3 linked regions of the Cricetulus griseus genome follow. The protein of the gene in region 1 interacts with the protein of each later gene in a pairwise test. Links are inferred from orthologs where the notes say so. Each region holds a gene or a part of one and is shown on either strand. Other genes may lie near its edges.

Evidence for each region.
Region 2: the proteins of Foxr1 (region 1) and Banp interact in binary tests that used the Homo sapiens proteins (3 or more experiments, as listed by UniProt). The two-hybrid records come from large-scale screens. The link is inferred for Cricetulus griseus from reciprocal best matches to the Homo sapiens genes FOXR1 and BANP.
Region 3: the proteins of Foxr1 (region 1) and Ppcdc interact in binary tests that used the Homo sapiens proteins (3 or more experiments, as listed by UniProt). The two-hybrid records come from large-scale screens. The link is inferred for Cricetulus griseus from reciprocal best matches to the Homo sapiens genes FOXR1 and PPCDC.

The regions. Positions count from the first base shown.
Region 1 is NC_048597.1:156,123,659-156,128,909, reverse strand, and holds the start of Foxr1 (forkhead box protein R1), read left to right. Parts: upstream 1-2,101; 5' UTR 2,102-2,170; coding exon 2,171-2,231; intron 2,232-5,251. UniProt on the Homo sapiens protein: Transcription factor which acts as both an activator and a repressor.
Region 2 is NC_048596.1:198,594,091-198,599,490, forward strand, and holds the start of Banp (protein BANP), read left to right. Parts: upstream 1-1,636; 5' UTR 1,637-1,680; coding exon 1,681-1,962; intron 1,963-1,967; exon of another isoform or gene 1,968-1,985; intron 1,986-5,400. UniProt on the Homo sapiens protein: Controls V(D)J recombination during T-cell development by repressing T-cell receptor (TCR) beta enhancer function. Binds to scaffold/matrix attachment region beta (S/MARbeta), an ATC-rich DNA sequence located upstream of the TCR beta enhancer.
Region 3 is NC_048597.1:169,064,394-169,069,700, reverse strand, and holds the start of Ppcdc (phosphopantothenoylcysteine decarboxylase), read left to right. Parts: upstream 1-1,783; 5' UTR 1,784-1,879; intron 1,880-1,885; exon of another isoform or gene 1,886-2,400; intron 2,401-2,881; exon of another isoform or gene 2,882-3,025; intron 3,026-4,236; exon of another isoform or gene 4,237-4,299; intron 4,300-5,307. UniProt on the Homo sapiens protein: Catalyzes the decarboxylation of the cysteine moiety of 4-phosphopantothenoylcysteine to form 4'-phosphopantotheine and this reaction forms part of the biosynthesis of coenzyme A.

The sequences.
Region 1 (5,251 bases):
CACGCCTTTAATCCCAGCACTCGGGAGGCAGAGGCAGGTGGATCTCTGTGAGTTCGAGGCCAGCCTGGTCTCCAGAGCGAGTGCCAGGATAGGCTCCAAAAGCTACACAGCGAGACCCTGTCTCAAAAACAAAAACAACAACAACAACAAAAAATTACTACTCTTGCATTTTGTCTACATAGGCTAATATCTCTGTTTTTAGGAGACACCAACTAAAGTGTTTCTGGATGAAAGGATATGCTGTTGAGACACTACTCCTAAAAAAATTCATTAGAAATTACATATCTTGAAGGGCTGGAGATACAAACCCAGTGGCAGAGCAGTTACCTAAGGCCCTGGGTTCTATACTCAGCATCAATCAGTTCATCAACAATAAAAAAATGCAGTATGAGGAGCTGGACATAGTAACAGCACACCTTTAATCCCAGCATTTGGGAAGCAGAGGCAGGTAGATCTTTTTGAATTTGAGGCCAGCCTGGCTTACGTTGTAAATTCTGGACAGTCAGAGCTACATAGTGAGACCATGTCTCAAACAAATAAAAAGAAAAAGAAAGAAAACTACATAATGAGGACTAGTAAAATGGCCCAGTGTAGAGGTACTAGCCACCAAACTTGACAATCTGAGTTCCACCCCTGGGATCCAAACAGTAGGAAAGAACCAACTCCCCCGGGTTGTTCCCTGACCTCCACACTTGCACCACAAATACTAACATGCATACACACACACACACACATAAAATAAATAAAATGTAAAAATATATATAAGGAGGAGCTGAATATGGTGATGCATGCCTGTAATCCTGGCACTTGGGAGGTAGATGAAAGAGGGTCAGGATTCTCCAGCTAGTCTCAGGACAGAATTCAAAGTCCAGCCTCTACAAGAGTAGGATGGGATTTTCAAAACACTGTATGTGCATGCATGCATTTACACATAGGGGCCGAGGGTTAGAGTTGCATGGTAGAGCACTTGCCTAGCACAAGAAAGGCCCATTAGTTCCCAGTACTAAGACAAATAAATGGTTAAATGAATAAAAAGTTAATAAGGATGTAAAGAAATTTCTACAAGCCAGGCGGTGGTGGCTCACACCTTTAGTCCCAGCACTCGGGAGGCAGAGGCAGGCAAATCTCTGTGAGTTCAAGACCAGCCTGGTCAACAAGAGCTAGTTCCAGGACAGCCTCCAAAGCCACACAGAAACCCTGTCTCAAAAAAACAAAACAAAAAAACCCAAAAACCAAAAAAAGAAAAAAGAAAAAGAAAGAAATTTCTACAGCATATAGTATATTTTTGTAAATTTGAAATTAAAAACAAACTTTAAAAAACCAAATTGCTAATCTCAGCTCTACCACCTACTAAGGTTGTAATCTTAGATAAACGGCATAAAACTTTTATGAAATATAAACTTTTGCTTTTTTGGCTTTTTCAAGACAAGGTTTCCCTGTGTAGCCCTAGTAGTCCTGGAATTTGCCTCATGCTCACAGAGATCCGCCTGCTTCTGTCTCCTGAGTGCTGGGATTAAAGGCCTGAAGTTACTACACCCTTCTTTTTTTCTTTTTTCTTTCTTTCTTTCTTTTTTTTTTTTTAAGTTCTGCTGGTCTAGCACCTTTGGCCTGCTCCACCACGCCCCCGCATTTTAACTCTTCCCACCCTCCAATACCACCCCCCTGAGCCAGGGTCTCTGGTAACTAGACTACTCTTGTGTACTAATTTGAATTTGTGCTTCCACCCAGTGTGATTATAGGTGTGTAGTACGAAATCCGGTTTTAGGCAGTAAGGGGCTTCGAACTCCGGAAAGAAGCGCTCTACCAGCTGCGCCACATCCACAGGTGGAGGAAAGCCTAGTGATTGCGAGCGGGCGAGCGGGCGAGCGGCATCCACAGGTGGAGGAAAGCCTAGTGATTGCGAGCGGGCGAGCGGGCGGGCGAGCGCAGGGTGGATCCTGAGGCAGGCAATGGGAGAGACTGGAGGGGCGCTCCACACCTGACCGCTCCCACCCACTCAATTGCCGGGGGTGTTTGAGGAAGCACCTTCCATGCAGACAGGCAGGCGAGTCTCCGCCTCTCGCACCCTGCGGCCTGGCGTCCTCTATCCTTTAAAGTGGACCCCAAACTCCAGGACCCGGACTTCTGGGCCAGCCTCCATGGCCAGGTCCCGGGCTTGCTGGACTGGGACATGGGCAACGAGTGTTTCTTGTCGTTCACCACGTCGTATCTGCCCCTGTCCACGCAGAAACGTGAGTGGGGCTGTGGGGGAGGGGCTCGTGGGTGGCGGCATGGAGTGTGGTGGCTTCCCAGGCTCACCACCTCCCTGGGCTCCGAGTCTCGCCCCACGCAGGAGTGGGAGTAGCCCTTCCTGCAACTGAGTCCCCAGAACCCTCTTACACACCCAGAACATTTCTAGGCCTCTTCTGAGCTTTGGTGCTTGGAGCATCAGAACTTGGCATACGGAAGGCTTTATATTTCGGTGTAAAACAATCAGTTTTCTTTAGGGAAATATCAGTTGCCTCTATTTGCTTCGTTGTTGCTGTTTATGTTTTTGTTTGGAAGCCCTTGCTAGCCTCAAGTCTTAATTGTTGACCTACCTCCTGCCGCTCTAGGAGTGGGCCACCACCCCAGGCTGTTAGCCCACCCCTACTGGTGTTGTCCAAATGGATTTAATATTGCGGAAGGGAGGGGGGCAGTATGTTCTCCCTAAATTTTTCCTCCTCCTTGGAACTTAAGTTCAATTGTTTGAGGTGATTACTCTTGCATTCAAAGTGCTTTTTTTTTTTTTTTTTTTTTTTTTGCCTCGCTGGCTAGATGTTTGGGTTCACACTCCTTTTTCCCCTTTGGTCACATCCATCAGCTCCACCTCCGTATGTTAATTTCATATAGGTCTAAGCTGACACAGGTGTGGTTGAGCCCAGGCCAGCCTGAAGGTGTCTTGTGCGTTTCTGGGAAGATTTTGCCTTTTGTTTAGAGACAGGGTGTCACCGTGTATGTAGCCTTGTCTGAGTCCGGAACTCTAGATCGGGCTGGGGTCCCTGATTCGGTTTTACTTATACAAGTAGGAAAGTCAGGCCCTGAGGAGAGGGGTGGATTAGTGACACAAATTTTGAGATTTTGGTATATGGTTGGAATTTAAGGAGTAAGAATAATTGGACCAAGGCTGAGCCCTTGAGGCATTCCAGTGGAGAGACTGAGGAAGAAGAGATAACCACCCCTCAGAAGATAACCAAGAGCCAAAACAGTGGTGCTGTGGTGTACAGGAACTCTGGTGATAAAACGTTTCAAGAATTGAGATTGGGAGATAGAGGTGGGAGGTTCCTGAGCTCAAGGTTATCCTTGGCTCCTCCAGAAGTTCCAGGGCTGCTTGGCCTAGAGATCAGCACTACCCCTTCCAAAAAAAAAAAAAAAAAAAAAAAATGGAGGAATAGAGGTGGTCAACACAGGGTAATGGGGTAAATCAGAGAGAGAGAGAGAATGAGAGAATATAATAAATTTGTTGGTTTGAGAGAGGGTCCTGCTATATTAACCTACGCTAGTCTCCAATTTAAGATCCTCTCAGCCTTCCTAGCTGGGATTAAAGGTGTAAACCATTAGTCACAGCTTCCCATTGTCTTTTACAATTAACACATGCAAATCAAAAGTTTAAAGAGCTAGGCATGGTCCTGCACACCTTTAATCCCAGCATTTGGGAGGCCAAGGCAGGCAGATCTCTGAGAGTTTAATGCCAGTCTGGTCTATATAGTAAATTACAGGACAGCTGGGGCAAGAAAAGAAAAGGGAGGGGGGGGGAGGGAGGGAAAGGGAAAGGAAAGAAAAAAGTTGGCTGTGGTAGCACACCTGTGGATGCCGAGGTAAGAAAATCTTAAATTCCAGACCATCTCGGCTGCAAAATAGAACCCTGTCTCAAAAGAATGGGTGGGGGTTAACCGGAGTTTAATTTTTGGAACTCAGGTAAGAAAGTGGTCTTGATCCACTCACACACAGTACACAAATGGTTTTGGTTTTTGTTTTTTTTTTTTTTTTTTTTTTTTTTTTTTTTTTTGAGACAGGGTTTCTCTGTGGCTTTGGAGGCTGTCCTGGAACTAGCTCTTGTAGACCAGGCTGGTCTCAAATTCACAGAGATCTCCCAAATGCTGGGACTAAAGGCGTGCGCCACCACTGCCCTACTGTTTTTTGTTTTTTTGTTTTTTTTTTTTTTTGAAAATCACTAAATTACATTTTCCATTTACAAAGCTTCTTCCCTTTTTGTGTGTTTGTGTTTTTTGTTTTGGGGGGCTTTTTTTGTTTTGGTTTTTGAGACAGGGTTTCTCTGTGGCTTTGGAGGCTGTCCTGGAACTAGCTCTTGTAGGCCAGGTGTCTCAAGCCCTTACCAAGTTTTGACCTGGGAGGAATGACAGACTCAGCGAGTTGGTTTTGAGTATGTAAGCTTTACTTCACACATATGTCAAAGTAATACAGAAGCATATGCAAACAATCCTAAGAACCACAGACAATATACTCACAGCAGGGGTACCTCTCCTGCAGAGGCTCAAAGGTTCCGGCTCTTGACTTCTGTTCTTCTGAATTAAGGCTGTGGAGTCTCGAGGGCCCAGTGTCGGGTTTCAGAAAGGGCGGCACTCAGCTTGATGGACTGGTTGTTTCAGGTTAGCGGAGGAGAGCTCCAGGACATAGAGTCGTGTGGTACACTCAAAAGTTCCCAGTTCTGAGCTGGTCCTTAAATAGTTTGCTGAATCTTGCTAATCACACTTTGCCACACACCACACATTCTCGATCTTATCTACAATGGCCGGTAGTGACTCCCTTTCTTTTAATCTCCCTCCAGCCAGGCCTTTGCCTGCCTGGTTACAAGCTCCTTACACCAGGCTAGTCTCGAACTCACAGAAAACTGCCTGCCTCTGCCTTCCAAGTGCTGGGACTAAAGGGGTGTGCCACCACCGCCCGGTTGGTGTGTGTTGATTTTTTAAATTTTTATTTATTTACTTTGTTTATTTTTGGTTTTGTAGGGTTTTTTTTGTTTTTGTTTTTTGTTTTTTTTCTGAGACAGAGTTTCTCTGTGTAGCTTTGGAGCCTATCCTGGCACTCGATCTGGAGACCAGGCTGGCCTCGAACTCACAGAGATCCGCCTGCCTCTGCCTCCCAAGTGCTGGGATTAAAGGCGCGCGCCACCAACGCCCGGCTTGTAGTTGTTTTTTGAATCAGGGTTTCTCTAGCTTTGGATCCTATCCTGGAACTTGCTCTGTAGATCAGGCGGCCTTGAACTCATAGA
Region 2 (5,400 bases), on another chromosome or scaffold:
TGTCCATGTGACATATCTGCCCTGTGTGCTAGGGTGGCCTCCATCAAGTAGGCTTTGTCATGCAGTCCCAGGGGCCCCGAGGAAACCAGAAGTTATACAAGAAAGAGACTCACCACACAGAGGCGCTGCCGCGGTGATGGCTCCTGCTCCCAGGAGAGAAACTGACTTTTCAACACATCCCACCCCCACCCTCAACACCCACCCCGCCGCTGCTGCAAGAAATGACTGTCCTGGAACTTGCTATGCAGTCTAGGCTGCCAACTTGCTTTCTACATGGTTGCGAGGCAACTTTAAATTGTAAGACTTCACACAGACGCCCAAAGCCTGCCCTCCTGGCTCCAGCTGCCACCTTCAGCAATTTCTCAGCCTCTTTGGACTTCATCCTCGTCTCTGTAAATGATAGGTCTCATTTTAACAGCACAATTCCAGGTTGAAGTCTTCAAGACACTTGTGAGGCAAAAGTAGCCCAGGACCAGCCCCTAGACAGAGAGGGCAGTGGTTTAGATGGGCTGTTAACTCAGTAGGGTCGCCTAAGGTCACCCAGCTGGTGGCTGCACCGTGTCCTGACTTTACTATCGGCATAGAGGAGGGGGCAGGAAAGTTAAGGAAAAGTATTTTCTTTCTAGGTGAAAATAGCTCCCGGATCCTGGTTTGGAGGATTGCTCACTGTGAACAAGGGGAAGGAACAAGTCCGGAAGGAACAAGCCCCGAGAAGAACGTGAATGAGACGAAGTGCAGAGACAGCCACTAGTGGCATTTCTGGGAACAAGCGCCTATCGATGCCGCAGGAGCTCCTATTCCAGGATACATAAGCAAGTCATATATAATTTCTGTCACCGCGACAGTGTCCGCGCCACATGCTTGCAACGACGTCACTAAACAAGCCCGGAACTTCCCAGACCGATCCACGGCGCGGAGTAGGTAGGACCGATTTGGAAGCGCACAGTTTGTCTGAGCTGCTGTCACTACAAGTCCCAGCAGCCCCCAGGGCAGGGAAGGGACGCAGCTGCCAGAATCCGGATGAACTACAAATCCCAGCAGGCAAATCACAACCGTGGAGACTACCAGTCCCAGAATGCATCGCGCCACACACAACATACCCTGGGATTTGTAGTCATCCGGGCAGCGTTAGCCTCTATTCACTCCCCTTCAGAAAGGACGTACATTTCTCAGATTGCCCTCGAGAGGATTTACCACTTTAGCAAAAAGCACGGACGTGAGGTGGGAAGTAAGGGCCTCGGGAGTCAACTTTCGGGGCACGGGAGGACAACTGCGCATGTTCGCCGGAGTCCGTCGGCAAAAGCGCGCGCCAGAGGCGCCCAGAGCAGGCTCCACCCCCTGTCGGCTTGGCTCCTCCCTCGAGCCCCGAGCCCAGGGAGCCTGCGCTGAGGGCGGGGCGCAGGGCGCGGGGAGGTGCTCGCAGCGCCTGCGCAGAGCGGCTGCTTCTCTCGCGAGGACGGACGCCATTATCGCATCTCCCCGACAAACACCACGAGAATTCCGCAGCCCACACGGTAATTGCAGCTCCCGCAGCCGGTCGCGCCTCCACTCCCCCTTCCCGCGGGGCGAGAGCGAGAGCGAGAGCGAGATCTCCGTCCGCCCCCGCCCCGCCCCGCCGCCAACGGTCGCCAACGGCCACGGGCCGCACGCCTGGCTGGGCGGGGGCCAGCGGGCCGAGGAATGTCCGTGCGGCGCCTCCGCGCCTCCACCCGCCCGGGCTGTGGGCTCCGGGCTGGGAGTGCGGGGCGGCGGGGAACGAGCGGGCGAGGCCCGGCGGCCGAGCTCACGTTCGGCTCCGGAGCCTCGGCGCCGCCCAGACCCGCGCCCGGCGGCCCTGTCACGTCCTCGGCGCGCGGACGCGGGCTCCCGCGCTCAGCCACCCCAGTCTGTCGAAGCAGAGCCTTGCGCGGTGCTCCCGGGCCCTGCGCACCGCCCTGCCGCCTCAGGTGGCCCCATCTCTCGGTAGTTCTTGGCTCTCTGCCCCGGTAGGGTGGCTTCGCCCTCGCTGGTGCATCCGCCTCTGCTCTCCGCTCTGTTGACATCGGGGCTGATAGTGGAGCTCTCTTCCCCACCTAGCGTCTCGTCCCTGTCCCGCACAGCCTTGCCTTTTTCCTGTTGTTTATAGTGACCTTTGTTTTTCTGCTCCTGGTGACATTGTAACTTCTCGAGGATAGTGTTAAATCTTCGGTCTTCCTCCACCTCCGCTTTGTGTTTTTCTAATCTGGGTCAGTGACTCTTAAGGCCCGCTCAGGTAGGTCCCGATGTCCTCCCTGCACGCCTGGTTAGTTCAGGACACGGTGTTTCAGTCTTAGCTTTCTTCAGTCCACAGGAGGCTCTGCCAAGTACTTCCGTTCTGGTAACTCTTTCCTCCTCGGACGATTTTAAGGTGGTCTTGGTATTAGAGTATCTTTTACAGTTCACAGGTAGGCTGAGGCTTGTGTCCTTGAGCCTGGGAAATTCTCTTGAGTCATTAGAGAACTTACCCCCCCCCCCCGATTTTATTCGTTTAGGGATTCCTGTCATGTGTAACACACATTTTGGGTAGAACCCTTGAATCTCTTCATCTTTCTAATCCCTTTTATTCTCATTCCAGGAGAGAGCGTCAGTTTATCTTTCTGCCTCCACCCTTTTATTTATTTATTTTTTGCTGGGTACAGTGTTGCAGGGTTTTAATTCCAGCACTTAGGAGATAGAGGCAAGTGATTCTTTGTGACTTTGAGGCCCACCTGGGCGACATAGGTCCTATGGGGGGGAGGAATCCATAGTACAAATTGTAGTTTGTAAGTGTATTTGTCATTTTCCTTTTGTCCAGTAGTCTGTCTCATGAATACATTTTTCTTCTTCAGGCTAAGGAAACTGTATTAGAGGTTCTTTTCAGTTTTCTTTTATCTGATTTCTTGTTTAACACCACTCTTTTGGGTGGTGGTGTGGTGAATGTTAGCTTGCTTTGCATGGTAGGTCTTCCTCCAATATTTATATTGTTATTACCTAAGCCTTAGGCCCTAAGGCAAGAGGAAACTGGCAGAAGTCCCTGGATCTGTGGAGAGGGTTTTTAAAATGGTTTCCCCTCTAATGACTTGGTGAGCTTGTTACCTTAAGACCCAGAAGACTTGTTGCAGACACCTTTTATCTGTGCTGTTGTCTCTCTTTAGGGTCTCCGTTTGCTTGGAAGATACTTTTTTTTTTTTTTTATGGTTTTTTTGAGACAAGGTTTCTCTGTGTAGCTTTGGAGCCTATCCTGGCACTTGCTCTGGAGAGCTGGCTGGCCTCGAACTCGCAGAGATCTGCCTGCCTCTGCCTCCCCAGTGCTGGGATTAAAGGTGTGCACCACTACCTCCCGGCTGCTTGGAAGATGTTCTATTTGTCTCTGAGGTGGCTGTAGAGACTTCTGAGGCCCTGGTGAGGCCTAGAGCCCCACTCCTGTGTGCCACATGCCCGCTGTTTCTTTTATCTAGCTTAGACCCTCTTAGTCAGAAATTGATGAAGTCTTTTCCTAAGTTTACTATACTTTTTTTGTTTGTTTTTGTTTTTTTGAGACAGGGTTTCTCTGGAACTCTGTAGACCAAGCTGTCCTCAAACTCATTGAGATCCACCTGCCTCTGCCTCCCAGGTGCTGGGATTAAAGGCGTGCGCCACCACCACCCAGCTTTATTGTATTCTTTATATTAAAATATTTTAATGCAGTAAGTAGAGATTATTTGTAAGGGCACTCACCTTGAACAAGAATTCCAAAACCTATTGTCTTCAGACATTTGTCTCCTTTCTTTTGGTCTTCGAGATGGATGTGTGCCAAAGCATGGTCTCTGGTTGCCTTCAGTTGAATAGATGGTTCTTCTGGCTCTGCTGTATTGGCAGGGCACCAGGATACAGGAGACTGGTCAGACACTGAGCTTAGACACCTCATTTGACTTATTCTGTAGTGGCCACTCAGGTTAGCCACTTCATTTTTTTTTTTTTTTCTTTTTTTGTGTGTGTGTTTCAGTGCGAGCAGCTAAGCTATTCACTGACCCAGAAGTGCACAGTGCAGTGTTTGCCTTACCCACAGCACAGGGATAACAAGGTGATGCATTGGGCTGGCCCACTTGCAAGTTGTGCTTAATGAAATAGGCTACATCCGCCAGAGTCTTGTAGCAGAGTCCACAGGCACCCATGTGCTGATGGGCAATTAGGCCCACCTGCAGATTCAGACTGCAATTAAGAATTTCAGAGAAACTATTAGTGAGCTTTCTCCTCCCCTTCATTTCTTCTGGTGTTGACATCTTACACAAGGAACTATCTACAGAATGGGTCTAAAACAGCAAGGTTACCTAGATTACAGACTTTATACAAGTTCTAGTATTCCACTGACATCTTTCTGTTTGTTTCAGGATCTAATTCAGGAACCCATACCCTATTTAGTTGTCATATCTCCCTCAGTCTGATATTTCCAGCATCCCAAAGTATCCATCAGTCTTGACAGGAAAAAAGTGCTATCTCTGGAAAAAGCCCAGCAGATGCTGTACATCCAAAGCAAATGATTAAGGCTAATGTGGCCTCAATAGAGACACTGATGTCAAACTACCCCAAGAGATAAAACCAATGGCATCTCAGTTCTCTGCTAGAAATGCAATCAGTGTATTTATGAGAAAATGTTAGATGCATATTGGGGGAGGAATGTTTGCTAGAATTCTGACCAGTGCTTCTCTCCAGGCGAGGGACTCAGAATCTGCATATGCTCAGGGCATGTGTGTACACACGGACACTCAGGGTGAAGTGGTTAGTAGGTGCCTGAGAGAAATGGAGGCTCCGGGCACAGATTTCTAGATGAGTTTGCAACAGCAGGTTTTACTAATGCTACTCCATGTAGCTTAGCCTGTATCGTCAGAATCAGCTATGCTATAGAAACCTAAGGTGTACAGTTGAATTCCATGATGCAAAGCCCACTATAAAATCACATATAACAAAGGGTCACCTGGAAAGAAGACGACAGTTGGATGCATTGAGGGCCCCAACAGGAATGTGTCAGGCTTAAGTTATATTTATGGTAAATGTTAGTTTGGCTTCATAAAATCCTTCCCAGGGAACTGATCAGAAGTGCTAACGGTCCTGCACTGTTGGTTGACAAGGAGAGTTTTAGGAGAGCAAGTGTGGGAGTTGAACCATGACAGTTGCCTCCTTAGGCTGTACCAGCTTTGCACTTGGAGCTCATTTCATCCCAGGTAGAAGATTACAGATCTGGTACCTATCTGCCTTGAAATTATGGGTGGGAGGTGCTGTTCCTGTGCCTCAGTTCTCCAGGGCAGATATAGAAACTGTTGACTGGCACTGTCCTGTATGGATGAAGTTAGTTTTAGAGTGGGGCTTGGAACTGACACTGGAACCTGGTGGAGGAGCTGGTGCCAGAACATGGAACCACCATCA
Region 3 (5,307 bases), about 13 Mb from region 1:
TTCTTCCATTCTCTTGAGAACTAACTACAGGACTTGGTTCCTGGCCTTTTCTTAGTTCTGTTGGAACCCTCTCCCCTTCACGACTGATCTCAGTCCCCAGGACTGTCTCTTCCAAGCAGTGGGTGGACATTGCCTGGTTGAGGATCTGGTTGTGTGAGGCCTGAGGTAGGTAGGCCATGCCAAGGAGCAGCTGCCTGTTTCTCACCTCCTTCCAACAGAAACTCACCTGGACTAGGTAGACTGGAGAGCCAGACCCCACTTAGCCATTCCAGGCTGCTTTATCTTGGGACCTAAGACCTGGTTTCAGGTCTCCTTGAGCTTTGATTTTCAGCTTCTTCCTTGTAAGAGAAGCCAAGAGTCTCTGAAAAGTTCCCTTCCTAATGACCCCTTAGGCTTAGTTGATTCTCTCCCCTACTGTTTTCCCTCTGGAGAGCAGTTGTCACATGCCCTGGTACCCTACAGAGACCCAGGGCTACGCCCTCCCTCTTCTTCCCTTCTCCTGACCCCAGACTTCTTTTTCCCTTCTCTTGGTCCTCTGGAAGTTCCGCGAGGGCTGTGATCCAGCTGCCAGCCTAGCATCCACGATCTGTTGGATGTTACCTCCAATTTCCTGTCCTACTGCCCTTTCCTCTTTCCTGGCTCAGACCTATTGGCCATGCCTGGCGCTGCCCTTGGGAAAGCCTGTTACCAGTGTCTGGCCCAGCTGCTCAGGCCCTGGAATGCTGCATCTCCAGGCAACTATGCACTTTCATGAGGAGGGAACCAGGATGAGAAAGGGGGCTGGGCACAGATGGTTTAATTTGGGGGTGGGAGGAGGGCCCAGTTGGTTCTGGGGATCCTCCTGTCTGTTGCCAGCCAGTGACCTGCTTTTGCATTCTCCTGGTGCCCACTGCCCCTTGTTTCTGAGAGACACACATTATTCCCTAGCTGGCAGTTGACCTGCCTGAGCCAATGTGTCTATCTGTGGTAACTGGATGAACCATAATAAAAGGGATCATTTGACCCTGTCTATTCTGTGTTGCTTGTCTTCATGTGGGTCTTAATGAAGTCTTGATATGGGATGTGAGGCAGGGGTGTAGGGCTGGGTTGAGTGGATCTGTGGCCTGGAATTCTGTGATCATTTCCCTAAAGCAGCCTTGAGTAGGCCATGAAGTACATGCCACAACTACCAGTTAAGAAGAAGAAATAAAGTGCTCTGCTGGCAATGGTAGGACTGGAACACAGGCCCTTCCTCAGCTCCCCTGGGGGATCACCTGAAGCTAATTCAGCAGCCTCCATGCACACAAGTTCTTGAGACCTGTGGTTGCTCCAGCGTGATGAAAACTATTCCAATATGCCGAGTCTTTGCCAAGTGTACTCACTAGGAATGCTGTCTAGATCCTCTGTGCTGGTCACTCCTCAAGATACCTTTCAAGTAACCGTGGGTGCCGTAGCGCGCTCCTTTAATCCCATTATGGCAGAGGCAGGTAGATGTCTGAGTTCCAGACCAGCCAGGGTTAAAAAGAAAAAAATTTTTTTTCCAAGTGACCCCTTCAATGACAAGGCTTTCCTGCTTAGGATTGTGGCTTAGGTCCTGCAGCTTCCTCATTCTTAGCCTCTAATTTTCTGTACTCCTGTTTGTCTCAAGAGCCGAACTGCCTTTTAGAACAGGCGCAGTAAATAGAATTAAGTGCCAGAGTTCTGAACAGGTGCGCGGGGTAATTGGCAAATCACACAACTATGTAGGTCCTGGAGCGAGCTCCGGTGACTACAACTCCCAGAAGGCAGAGTAGACTACGGCTCCCAGAAGGCCATGCGTTCACGTAGCTCTCTCGCGTGCCCTTTAGACTCGGAGGGTAAGGGCGCCTAGATACCGCGATACTTGGGGCGGCTGGCGCGGGTGAGCGGTGGAAGGGGCTGGGAAGTGTTGTCCCGGGGATCGGCGTGGTGTGGCGGTGGGAGAAGCTCCTCAGGCTGTGGGTCCGAGCGAGGGTGGATGTGCGATTATGTGTGTGATGTGGGGCCACCGGCGTGCTCTCGCGCTCAGGGTTGGGGGACAGCAGCCGCACCTGCGCCCGCTGACCTGCGCTATCCTTGAAAGAGGCGCAGCCAGGACACCCACACTCGACGCTTACCTTTGAAAACTGCAGCGTAGGCTGCGTCCTAAGAGATCCAGGAGCGTCCCGATGTGAAAACGGTCTTAAAGTTACATTTATTTTGGATGGGGTGCTGTCACGGCATGCGTGTGGAGATCATACAACTTGTGAGATTCAGTTCCACCGTGTGAGGCTGCAAGCCACCTTACTGAGCCAACTTGCCTCAAGCTATTTTAAATGAATAAACTAGAGAAAGAAAAACCCTGGGAGTGTTTAGTTGCTTAATCCCTAAACGTGCGGAGCGGCATTTAAAAAGTAGAGTGAGGTCAGTTTTTTTTTTTTTTTTTTTTGTCTGAAAAAATTTCCTGATCAAATATTGGAAGCCAGAACTAGCTAATGGGCAGGAGAGAGCCTCGGGAAGTGGTGGGTGCTTGGGAACTGGGGGTTTTGCTCCGAGATGTGTCCTCAGGAGGTACCCAAATGAACTGTAGGAGCTTTGTGCCCAGCGTTTTGAATGAGAACGAGCGTTCCTTGCTTTTCCTAACACCTTAAAAGGGGTTTAGGTGCCGGGCGGTATGGGTTTTGGTGTAGGGTGGTTACATTTTTCTGGCTACATCCTTGCCCATTTTGTTACTGGCAGATATCCATGAAACTGAAACTTCAGTTTGACCTTGATTAAACAGAAGATTGATAAGGCACACGCTGAGGCCCTTTTCTCGGTGTGTGTGTGTGTGTGTGTGTGTGTGTTCTCACTGTCTTAAATTCTCTTTCTCTTTTACTTTTTTTTCCCTTTCCCTTCATGACAGGGTCTCTCAGTGTATCCCCGGCTAGCCCAGAACTCACTGTGTAGACCACACTAATCTTGAATTCATGGAAAACTGCCTACTTGTTCACCTGTGCTGGGATTAAAGGCATGTGCCATCACACCCCACTTTTTCTTACACATAAGAGTAAGTTTAAGTTCTGTGGTTATAATACAAGTCAAATAAGAATAGGAAAAACGCGTTTTCTGCACATGCTGCTTTAAGACTGGTCTAGCAATAAGCTGTAGACCTCACATTGGGAATATAGGCGTCTTCCTGTACCTGCACTTCAGTCTGTGAGGAGTGGAAAGAAAAATTAACCCTGAGTTCAAGGATAGCCACGAGAAACTCAAGTTTGACTCCGGAGGTTTAAAGGGAACACTGAATCATATGATAAAACAAGCTTGTCTTTTGAGTCTTTTTCCCGGGAGGTCAGTAGTGGTGGGAGAGAATTAGATATTACAATGTTCAGCTCCTGGACATGCCTGGACAAGCATGATGTAGAGGTCAGGGAACACAGACATGTACTGACTTGTCTGTTCAAACCAGTGAGCTCCATGTATAGGGAGGAGAGCTAGCTGTCCTGACTGCTGGAGAACCTGTGCTGCAGAGCATCAGGAGGTGCAGCATCCACCAGCTAGGAAGAAACACAATTGTGAGCCATTTTAAAGTGTAGAAAACAGCTTCTCTCTTATTGCTGTGGTTTGGAGGTTAGGTTTATTATGAAAGCAAAGGGTCCTCCCATCTTTCTGAAGGATGGAGAAAGTGCAGTGTCCTGGCTGTGGTTCTCCTACATGGCTCGGTGCCCCTGTCCCCCGAGCTCAGGAGGAATCATGACTTTTCAGTCACGGCCTGCTGCCTGCTTGTCCACTCTCCTGGACTGCTCACAGTTCCTGTTAGTGGCAGGGGTAGGGAATCGAGGTGCTGCCTATAGTCACCCTGACTGTCAATAAATGAAAATTCCAAAAATCTTTAATAGGATCTGGGTGGAGGAAGAGACTGAATTGGCTTGGAATTTGATCTTGGAGAGCAAACTCTGACCAGCTCTCACTTCCCCTGGGACTCTCAGGTTGAACATATTTGACCTCGATTCCAAATATTGGTTAAATAATCTAGTTTCTATTCTTCAACTATAAATCAGTCTCCCTCTTTCCCCAACCTTCCCCCCCCCCCAGAAGAATGGCTTTGGTCCTGAGCAAAACTTGGTTACAGATCAAGCATCGTATCTTGGGTTGGAATAAGCAGCGCAGAGTCCTGCCTCCAGTTTGATTGACAGCTTTCTGTAACATGACCCGTGGGAATTTTATCTTCTTGAGGTTCAGGGACTGCAGGGATGAAGCTGTGCTTCTGTTTTGCAGGACTCTCCCTGTTTTGCACCATTTGACTGAAGTAGGACAGGGTCAAGGTTTGAGGACTGACAGGTAAGTTTTGCTGGAGAATCAAGAATATGTTTCTCAGGGAACTGGAGAGATGGTTCAGTGGTTAAGAGCATGTGCTGCTCTTGTAGGGGAGCCGAGTTCCATTCCTATTACCTGTGCACACCCGTGCCGGGCAGCTCACAACTGCCCCAAGCTCCAACTCAAAGGTGATGGGATGCCTTTGGCCTCAGAGCATCTGCACTCAAGTGCACATGGTCACCTGCAGGCACATAATTAAAAATAAAATAATTAAACAACAAAAACCAAAACGCATCTCTCACCTACTAGTGATGTCATTTGGGAAAGTGGCTAGTAGGTCCCATGGACTTTGTCAGTTGTCAACAGTGCTCCCCAGACTTTCTGGTGGACTCATTTCTGTAACAAGGACAAGCCTGGTCCTGGTTGAGGCTCCAAATTACAGAAAAGATTTAAAGTGTTGGCAGCAGGGGCTGGGGCTGGGGGTGGAGGTAGAGAAAAGTCTCCGTGATTAAGAGAGCACATACTTCTCTTGCAGAGGACCTGGGTTCCATTCCCTAGACCCACATGGCAGCTCATAACCATCTGTAACTCCAGTTCCAGGGGATCTGACACCCTTTTCTGGCCTCTGTGCGCACTGTACACAACTGATGCATAGACAAGCAGTCAAAACACCTATACGCATAAACAGTCAATATATAAGTAAAGTAAATCTTTAAAGAGCGCTGGCAAGTTGAACTTTAGGGGAACCAGTCTGTGCTTAATCCCTTTGAGATGGGGTAGCCATCGTCCCCTCAGCTCTTACGAATCTATGTCTAAATGTTACAGGCAAATGCCAGAGGCTCCTGTGGGTACCCAGGCATGGAGGGAGCTGGAGTTACTGGGTTCTCCTTCCATAGTGGTCTTGATCTTTTGGAGTACATCTAGAATTTCTGTCTTGTAGAAAGGGCCACTTAGCTTTGTCTTCTGCATTGACTCAGGTTGTACTGGAGGAAATTTCAGAAATCAGCAGTTCTATCCCTATGTTTTCACATG